Linked DNA regions of Saccharomyces cerevisiae S288C. The gene in region 1 interacts genetically with each later gene. Each region holds a gene or a part of one and is shown on either strand. Other genes may lie near its edges.

Region 1 (4,225 bases):
AGTACAACACCATCAACTGATATAACATCGGCACTGCCCACGACTACAAGCACAAAGTTGTCAACATCCATTCCCACAAGCACGACATCGTCAACCTCTACCACCACAAGTACCTCATCGTCGACTTCTACGACCGTAAGTGTCACATCATCAACATCTACCACCACAAGTACTACGTCGTCAACCCTCATTTCCACGAGCACATCATCATCATCATCATCAACTCCAACCACAACATCGTCAGCCCCCATTTCTACAAGCACGACGTCGTCAACTTCCACTTCAACAAGTACAACATCGCCAACTTCTTCTTCAGCACCTACAAGCTCGTCTAATACAACACCAACGAGCACAACGTTCACTACGACATCACCCAGTACAGCCCCTTCAAGCACTACGGTTACTTACACCAGTACCACAGCATCTCCAATAACGTCCACTATAACTTCTGTAAACCTGCAGACCTCCTTAAAGTATTCTGTGATAACAGTGACTTCAGTGCACACCATGGACACTAACATTTCGGAAATCACCTCGAGATATCTCACCATGAAAAAAGTAATAACGCAGATTTACTCTTCCACCCTCGGGGCTACTCCTACTTCTGCAGTGGCTACTACGTCTGCCAGCGTAGGTGGTAGAATAACAAACAATAACAATAGTAACACCACCAACAGCAATACACCAACTAACAAGTCTACAGAAAAGAAAGGGTACTGGGATTCGCCCGGGAAAATAGCCGCTACTTTCGTCGTGGTTGGAGTGGTATGTTTGGTAATTATATGCATACTAATATACTTAATACATCATTATAGAACAAGACCCGCTCGGAAGGCTCAAGATTTTGAGAATGAATATCAGAGTAAGTTTTACCAGTCCAAGTACCCAAATGAAGTTACCACTACCACGTTACACACGCCTTCACCATCTTCAAATTCAACTTTCTCGACCCCAAGATTAATATACACTGATGAAAAGGGACAAATTATGTCTGAATCACCATCCCCACGTCAATCTACGTATTCCTTGACTGCAGGCAGTCCACCAAATGACCCAAGCACGTTGGCAAGCCCATTTCACGATCCCATTCTTCCCAGAAGAACTTCTACTTTTCTTCATTCGCCCATTCAAAAGCAACACGAAAAAATGGAATCAAACGTTACTCTAGGTGAAGACACGGTACTGGTGGATCAGAGGCTAGACCCAAGTAAGATGCTTAACACTTTAGCAAATGACGATGCCACAAACCACTCTACCATTTCGTTATCAGACAACGTAGACTACTCCAGGAGGGTTCTGCGGCTAATGAACGAATAAAGACTGCAGCTCTTATACGTAATAAATATTCCACGAACGATAATACATACATAATTTTAATTCTGAACTTTGTTTTTTTCCTTCGAATGTTCTCAAAAGAATGCTTTACGACAATAACGCTGTTATCTTGTACATACTTTTCTCTGCCCAGTGACAGCAGGCACAATAATCTAAATACCGCGTTCGTGCGAGACATTCTCTGTGATTCACAGATTACGGCGCAGAAAATAAAATAGCCGTCCAGCTCGGAGTTTCTAAAATTACGTCCGAGATGACGGAGGCTTATAAAATCATTTCAGACGGGTGAGGGATGCCAATCTACGAGACAAAAGATAAAAAATTAAGACTCAATAATATAGAAAGGAACTAAATGTTTTCATAAGAGTCACCGTCTATAACCTTTTTTTTTTTTATTGGTCTGTTATCACTTCCACTGAGAAAGTAATATTGCTATTGCACAACACTTTTTGAACAAGTGCAAAGATAAAATACTGAAAACGGTAAAGTAGGTTTGTTTAAATTGACTTAAGATGGTGCCATTGGAAGATCTGCTTAATAAAGAAAATGGCACTGCCGCACCTCAACACAGCCGGGAGAGTATAGTAGAAAATGGGACAGACGTTTCTAACGTCACAAAGAAGGACGGGCTGCCCAGTCCTAACCTATCTAAAAGGTCTTCTGATTGTTCGAAGAGGCCTAGAATTAGGTGTACCACGGAAGCTATTGGCTTGAACGGTCAAGAAGATGAACGGATGTCACCAGGCAGCACTTCTTCATCATGCTTACCATATCATAGTACTTCACACTTGAACACTCCTCCATACGATCTATTGGGCGCTTCGGCAGTTTCACCCACCACATCATCTTCCTCTGACTCGTCCTCCTCCTCGCCATTGGCACAAGCGCATAACCCGGCAGGTGATGACGACGATGCGGATAATGACGGTGATTCTGAGGATATAACACTATATTGTAAATGGGACAACTGTGGTATGATTTTCAACCAACCAGAGCTGCTATATAATCATCTGTGTCATGACCATGTTGGCAGGAAGTCACATAAGAACCTACAATTGAATTGTCATTGGGGAGACTGTACCACGAAGACGGAGAAAAGGGACCATATCACCTCGCATTTGAGAGTTCACGTACCATTGAAACCGTTCGGTTGCTCTACGTGCTCCAAAAAGTTTAAACGTCCGCAAGATTTAAAAAAGCATTTGAAAATTCATCTGGAAAGTGGCGGTATTTTGAAAAGAAAGAGGGGACCCAAATGGGGCTCAAAAAGAACTTCTAAGAAAAACAAAAGTTGTGCAAGCGACGCAGTGTCGTCTTGTTCTGCATCTGTGCCTTCCGCTATAGCTGGTAGCTTTAAGTCACATTCTACTTCTCCACAGATATTACCCCCATTGCCCGTGGGTATATCTCAACATCTGCCTTCACAACAGCAGCAGCGGGCTATTTCCTTAAACCAACTATGCTCAGACGAGCTATCTCAGTATAAGCCGGTATATTCTCCACAATTGAGTGCCAGATTGCAAACGATCTTGCCGCCATTATACTACAATAACGGCAGCACGGTAAGCCAAGGTGCCAACAGTCGGAGCATGAATGTCTACGAGGACGGTTGTTCTAATAAGACCATAGCAAACGCCACCCAATTCTTCACCAAACTATCGAGAAATATGACAAATAACTACATTTTGCAACAAAGCGGTGGTAGTACTGAGTCCTCGTCATCATCTGGGCGCATCCCCGTAGCACAAACAAGCTATGTGCAGCCACCTAATGCTCCTTCATACCAATCCGTACAAGGTGGTAGCTCTATTTCGGCCACTGCAAATACAGCAACTTATGTGCCAGTACGGTTGGCCAAGTATCCAACTGGTCCTTCGCTTACTGAACATTTGCCACCTTTACATTCGAACACTGCCGGTGGTGTTTTCAACCGCCAATCACAGTATGCTATGCCACACTATCCATCTGTTCGTGCTGCGCCTAGCTATTCCTCCAGTGGCTGTTCTATATTACCGCCTCTACAATCAAAGATACCAATGTTACCATCGCGCCGTACAATGGCAGGTGGAACTTCATTGAAGCCTAACTGGGAATTTAGCCTGAACCAAAAAAGCTGTACTAATGATATTATCATGAGTAAGCTGGCGATTGAAGAAGTAGATGACGAAAGCGAGATAGAGGATGATTTCGTAGAGATGTTGGGTATAGTGAACATTATCAAGGACTACTTGTTGTGCTGTGTCATGGAAGATTTAGATGATGAAGAAAGTGAGGACAAAGATGAAGAAAACGCATTCTTGCAAGAATCTTTAGAAAAATTGAGTTTACAAAACCAAATGGGAACTAACTCAGTTCGCATCTTGACCAAGTATCCCAAAATTTTGGTATGATATGGATTGTCGGATATTTTATTCTTAGTTGTTTCTTTGCGGCTGTATAGTAAATGAATAAATCACACATGCCCTAGCGCGGCGTCGCGGATTAAACAAGGTAACAATGGTTAAAGGAAAAATTATTTGTTAAGGTGGGTATATTATAGATTGCTAATTGTAAAGTATTAATAGTTTATTAAGTATTAAACTAGAGTTCGCACATGCTTTTATTTTTTTGTTGCTTTTCTTCACGCTACCGCTTCTTGAGACTGTTGTTTGGTAGTACTGATATCTTGATCGGTTGATCCCGAGCTGCGATTACCCGTGGAGCAAACTTCTTGATCCTGCTGTAGCGTACCGTTTGCTAAGCCTTCATAGTAAAGTTCCTCGTGAAACTGGTTTCTCAACACAATGACGATGATGGCCACTGGAGTGCATACAAAGGCAATTACAACGGCATAAATCAACTTCATGACCTGCGGTAGTGGATAATCGTTGAAGTAGTAGTCGTGGGACCC
Region 2 (6,482 bases), on another chromosome or scaffold:
CTACAACTCAATCCCTTCTCGAAGATACATCAATCCACCCCTTATATAACCTTGAAGTCCTCGAAACGATCAGCTAATCTAAATGGCCCCCCTTCTTTTTGGGTTCTTTCTCTCCCTTTTGCCGCCGATGGAACGTTCTGGAAAAAGAAGAATAATTTAATTACTTTCTCAACTAAAATCTGGAGAAAAAACGCAAATGACAGCTTCTAAACGTTCCGTGTGCTTTCTTTCTAGAATGTTCTGGAAAGTTTACAACAATCCACAAGAACGAAAATGCCGTTGACAATGATGAAACCATCATCCACACACCGCGCACACGTGCTTTATTTCTTTTTCTGAATTTTTTTTTTCCGCCATTTTCAACCAAGGAAATTTTTTTTCTTAGGGCTCAGAACCTGCAGGTGAAGAAGCGCTTTAGAAATCAAAGCACAACGTAACAATTTGTCGACAACCGAGCCTTTGAAGAAAAAATTTTTCACATTGTCGCCTCTAAATAAATAGTTTAAGGTTATCTACCCACTATATTTAGTTGGTTCTTTTTTTTTTCCTTCTACTCTTTATCTTTTTACCTCATGCTTTCTACCTTTCAGCACTGAAGAGTCCAACCGAATATATACACACATAATGGCATCCACCGATTTCTCCAAGATTGAAACTTTGAAACAATTAAACGCTTCTTTGGCTGACAAGTCATACATTGAAGGGTATGTTCCGATTTAGTTTACTTTATAGATCGTTGTTTTTCTTTCTTTTTTTTTTTTCCTATGGTTACATGTAAAGGGAAGTTAACTAATAATGATTACTTTTTTTCGCTTATGTGAATGATGAATTTAATTCTTTGGTCCGTGTTTATGATGGGAAGTAAGACCCCCGATATGAGTGACAAAAGAGATGTGGTTGACTATCACAGTATCTGACGATAGCACAGAGCAGAGTATCATTATTAGTTATCTGTTATTTTTTTTTCCTTTTTTGTTCAAAAAAAGAAAGACAGAGTCTAAAGATTGCATTACAAGAAAAAAGTTCTCATTACTAACAAGCAAAATGTTTTGTTTCTCCTTTTAAAATAGTACTGCTGTTTCTCAAGCTGACGTCACTGTCTTCAAGGCTTTCCAATCTGCTTACCCAGAATTCTCCAGATGGTTCAACCACATCGCTTCCAAGGCCGATGAATTCGACTCTTTCCCAGCTGCCTCTGCTGCCGCTGCCGAAGAAGAAGAAGATGACGATGTCGATTTATTCGGTTCCGACGATGAAGAAGCTGACGCTGAAGCTGAAAAGTTGAAGGCTGAAAGAATTGCCGCATACAACGCTAAGAAGGCTGCTAAGCCAGCTAAGCCAGCTGCTAAGTCCATTGTCACTCTAGATGTCAAGCCATGGGATGATGAAACCAATTTGGAAGAAATGGTTGCTAACGTCAAGGCCATCGAAATGGAAGGTTTGACCTGGGGTGCTCACCAATTTATCCCAATTGGTTTCGGTATCAAGAAGTTGCAAATTAACTGTGTTGTCGAAGATGACAAGGTTTCCTTGGATGACTTGCAACAAAGCATTGAAGAAGACGAAGACCACGTCCAATCTACCGATATTGCTGCTATGCAAAAATTATAAAAGGCTTTTTTATAAACTTTTTATAATTAACATTAAAGCAAAAACAACATTGTAAAGATTAACAAATAAATGAAAAAAACAACGAAATAACTTAGGTTTTAGGCTAAAAAAAACAGAAGGAATTTTGAACGATAAACTTTTCGACTGCACACGAAACATTATTACTAATTTGTGTAACCACTATATAAGGAATCGTGTTTATTAATTGAATTTATTCCGGGAATATTCAAGTTATGTATATCTCTTTTCATATTCTTAAATACACATACTCATAATATCTTGTCGAAAATACGCGGTGTAGGGAGTTATGGTGGATAACTTTTTCACGATTAGAAGAAAAGGAAAATTTCATTATTCGTAGCTTAACATGGCAAAAACGAGAAAGACATATAATCAAAACGTGAGTTTCCTGTGGAAAAAAAAAAAAGGGAACCTCTGGTTACGATGATATACCTGCGTGAAAAAGGACAGTTATTACCAATACATACAAAGGCTTAATAAGTGTAAAATATATATCTGCCGAGACCATTACTCATTACACCTAGAATGGAGCAAAATGGCCTTGACCACGACAGCAGATCTAGCATCGATACGACTATTAATGACACTCAAAAGACTTTCCTAGAATTTAGATCGTATACCCAATTAAGTGAAAAACTGGCATCTAGTTCTTCATATACGGCACCTCCCCTGAACGAAGATGGTCCTAAAGGGGTAGCTTCTGCAGTGTCACAAGGCTCCGAATCCGTAGTCTCATGGACAACTTTAACACACGTATATTCCATCCTGGGTGCTTATGGAGGGCCCACGTGCTTGTATCCGACAGCCACGTATTTTTTGATGGGCACTTCTAAAGGATGCGTACTCATTTTTAATTATAATGAACATTTGCAGACAATCCTAGTGCCGACCTTATCTGAGGACCCTTCTATTCACTCAATAAGAAGTCCAGTGAAATCAATTGTCATATGTTCCGATGGTACTCATGTAGCTGCCTCATACGAGACCGGAAATATATGCATTTGGAACTTGAACGTAGGGTATAGAGTGAAACCCACTTCTGAACCAACAAATGGTATGACCCCAACGCCTGCCTTACCGGCAGTCTTACACATCGATGACCATGTGAACAAGGAAATCACAGGGTTAGACTTTTTTGGTGCTCGGCATACAGCCCTGATTGTTAGTGATAGGACAGGTAAAGTATCACTCTATAACGGTTACAGAAGAGGCTTTTGGCAGTTGGTGTATAATTCAAAAAAAATTTTAGATGTGAACTCTTCCAAGGAGAAATTAATAAGGTCAAAGTTGTCTCCACTAATATCACGGGAGAAAATTTCCACTAATTTGTTGAGTGTACTCACAACTACACATTTTGCCCTTATTTTATTATCGCCACACGTTTCTTTGATGTTTCAAGAAACTGTTGAACCCTCAGTACAAAATTCTCTAGTCGTGAATAGCTCTATTTCATGGACTCAAAACTGTTCCAGGGTTGCTTATTCCGTAAATAATAAAATTTCTGTTATTTCCATATCTTCATCAGACTTCAATGTTCAGTCCGCTAGCCATTCTCCTGAATTTGCAGAATCTATATTATCCATTCAATGGATTGACCAGCTCCTACTTGGTGTTTTAACCATATCGCACCAATTTTTGGTATTGCACCCCCAACATGACTTCAAGATCCTGTTAAGATTGGATTTTCTGATTCACGATTTGATGATCCCACCTAATAAATATTTTGTAATAAGTAGAAGAAGTTTCTACCTGTTAACAAACTACTCATTTAAAATTGGCAAATTTGTGTCTTGGTCAGATATTACTTTAAGACATATTTTGAAAGGCGACTACTTGGGTGCATTGGAGTTCATAGAATCACTTTTGCAACCTTACTGTCCACTGGCAAACTTGTTGAAGCTAGATAATAATACGGAAGAGAGGACTAAGCAACTTATGGAACCATTTTACAATCTGTCCTTGGCTGCCCTAAGGTTTCTTATAAAAAAAGATAATGCCGACTACAATAGGGTTTACCAATTATTAATGGTAGTTGTTCGTGTTTTGCAGCAATCTTCCAAAAAACTAGACTCAATTCCTTCTCTAGACGTCTTTTTGGAACAGGGTCTGGAGTTCTTTGAATTGAAGGACAACGCGGTATATTTTGAAGTTGTAGCAAATATTGTTGCCCAAGGATCAGTTACGTCAATTTCCCCAGTTCTTTTCAGGTCCATAATTGATTACTATGCTAAGGAGGAGAATTTAAAAGTAATTGAAGACTTAATCATCATGTTAAATCCTACTACGCTTGATGTTGATCTTGCCGTCAAACTATGCCAAAAGTATAATTTGTTCGATTTATTAATATATATTTGGAACAAGATCTTTGATGATTATCAAACCCCAGTGGTGGACTTGATATACAGGATTTCTAACCAAAGTGAAAAATGTGTGATCTTCAATGGTCCTCAAGTACCTCCTGAAACGACTATATTTGATTACGTAACGTATATCCTTACTGGCAGGCAATATCCACAAAACTTGTCTATATCACCAAGTGATAAATGCTCCAAAATACAAAGGGAACTTTCAGCATTTATTTTTAGTGGCTTCTCCATAAAATGGCCGTCGAACAGCAATCATAAACTTTACATATGCGAAAATCCAGAAGAAGAGCCAGCATTTCCTTACTTTCACCTTTTATTGAAATCGAATCCGAGTAGGTTCTTAGCAATGCTCAATGAAGTGTTTGAAGCGTCCTTGTTTAACGATGACAATGACATGGTTGCATCAGTTGGAGAAGCAGAATTGGTAAGTAGGCAATATGTTATTGATCTACTATTGGATGCTATGAAAGATACGGGAAATTCAGACAACATCAGGGTACTTGTTGCAATTTTCATTGCAACTAGTATATCAAAATATCCTCAATTTATTAAAGTGTCTAACCAAGCCCTCGACTGCGTTGTTAATACCATATGCTCCTCTAGGGTTCAAGGTATATATGAAATTTCTCAAATAGCTCTGGAGTCGCTTTTACCCTATTATCATTCAAGAACAACAGAAAATTTTATACTGGAACTAAAAGAAAAAAATTTCAATAAAGTTCTTTTCCATATCTATAAAAGTGAAAATAAGTACGCCAGTGCGCTTTCACTTATTTTAGAAACTAAGGACATCGAAAAAGAATATAACACGGACATTGTATCCATAACCGACTACATACTCAAAAAATGCCCACCTGGAAGTTTAGAATGTGGCAAAGTTACTGAAGTTATCGAGACGAACTTTGATCTTCTTCTCTCAAGGATCGGTATCGAAAAATGCGTCACAATTTTTTCTGACTTTGACTATAATCTTCATCAAGAAATCCTGGAAGTAAAGAATGAGGAGACTCAGCAAAAGTATTTGGATAAGCTTTTTTCTACGCCAAATATCAACAATAAGGTCGATAAGCGTTTAAGAAATTTACACATCGAATTGAACTGTAAATACAAGAGCAAAAGGGAAATGATTCTTTGGCTTAATGGTACAGTTCTCAGCAACGCTGAGAGCTTACAAATTCTGGACTTATTGAATCAAGACTCTAATTTTGAAGCTGCAGCTATAATTCACGAACGCTTGGAAAGTTTTAACCTAGCAGTCAGGGATTTATTAAGTTTTATTGAACAATGTCTAAATGAAGGGAAAACAAATATATCTACTTTATTGGAATCTTTGAGGAGGGCCTTTGATGATTGTAATTCTGCTGGTACCGAGAAAAAATCGTGTTGGATATTATTGATTACATTCCTGATCACTCTATATGGGAAATATCCTTCACACGATGAAAGGAAAGATTTATGTAATAAACTACTTCAAGAAGCATTTTTGGGATTGGTTAGGTCCAAGAGTTCCTCTCAGAAGGATTCAGGTGGGGAATTCTGGGAAATAATGTCTTCTGTTCTTGAGCACCAAGACGTTATTTTAATGAAAGTTCAGGATTTAAAGCAACTGCTACTGAATGTTTTTAATACTTATAAATTGGAAAGATCTCTTTCTGAGTTGATTCAAAAGATTATAGAGGATTCTTCGCAAGATCTTGTTCAACAGTATAGAAAATTTCTGAGTGAAGGGTGGTCTATACACACCGACGACTGCGAAATCTGCGGGAAAAAAATATGGGGAGCTGGTCTGGACCCATTACTTTTTCTAGCTTGGGAAAATGTACAGCGCCACCAAGATATGATTAGTGTAGATCTCAAAACTCCCCTTGTCATATTCAAATGTCACCATGGCTTTCACCAGACTTGCCTCGAAAACTTGGCCCAGAAACCCGATGAATATTCTTGTTTAATTTGCCAGACGGAATCTAACCCAAAAATAGTATAACATTTCTAAATATTTAATACAACTTTGGTTACATAAAAGTAAAATTTATACACCTCATTTCATTATGTAGATTCATATATAGAATACCAATTATGATTGACCCAATAGCCATCAAAATCAGTAGTTATTAATACTTGTCTTTCTAGGAGCCATTTGCATATTTCTGATATTTCATGAAGCGAAAGTACTTCACGACACCTAGATTGCAATCTACTCAATGTTATCCCTGGATGAAATATTATTTCGTTAACGACCATAGTAACTACCTGCTTCCATATGTTTGGCCTAATGGAACCAGATCCATTCACCCATAAACGAGAAAATGGTTTGCCCAGTGGAACTTTGACAGCAGACTTCCTTGCTGTATTCAATTTTGTCTGAGAATTGGCATATATAATCAGAGGGGGAGTTAATGTTCGTATTTCAAATCTCCTTGAAGTATACGTTAAAGGTCGAACATTTCTCACCATTGGAATTACATCCATATTCAATAGCTCTCC

What was found.
Region 2: mutations in RIM101 (region 1) and VPS8 together harm fitness more than expected from each alone (negative genetic interaction), as found in Saccharomyces cerevisiae (3 studies listed by BioGRID).

The regions. Positions count from the first base shown.
Region 1 is NC_001140.6:49,264-53,488, forward strand, and holds RIM101 (alkaline-responsive transcriptional regulator RIM101), read left to right. Parts: upstream 1-1,847; coding exon 1,848-3,725; downstream 3,726-4,225. Other genes in the region: WSC4 (Wsc4p), read left to right, coding at 1-1,317; YHL026C (uncharacterized protein), read right to left, coding at 3,956-4,225. UniProt on the Saccharomyces cerevisiae protein: Transcription factor that mediates regulation of both acid- and alkaline-expressed genes in response to ambient pH.
Region 2 is NC_001133.9:141,550-148,031, forward strand, and holds VPS8 (CORVET complex membrane-binding subunit VPS8), read left to right. Parts: upstream 1-2,157; coding exon 2,158-5,982; downstream 5,983-6,482. Other genes in the region: EFB1 (translation elongation factor 1 subunit beta), read left to right, coding at 625-704, 1,071-1,611; transcription factor TFIIIC subunit TFC3, read right to left, coding at 6,045-6,482. UniProt on the Saccharomyces cerevisiae protein: Required for localization and recycling of the CPY sorting receptor (VPS10) to the late-Golgi compartment. Involved in the retention of proteins to the late-Golgi. Plays an integral role in the complex vacuolar protein sorting process.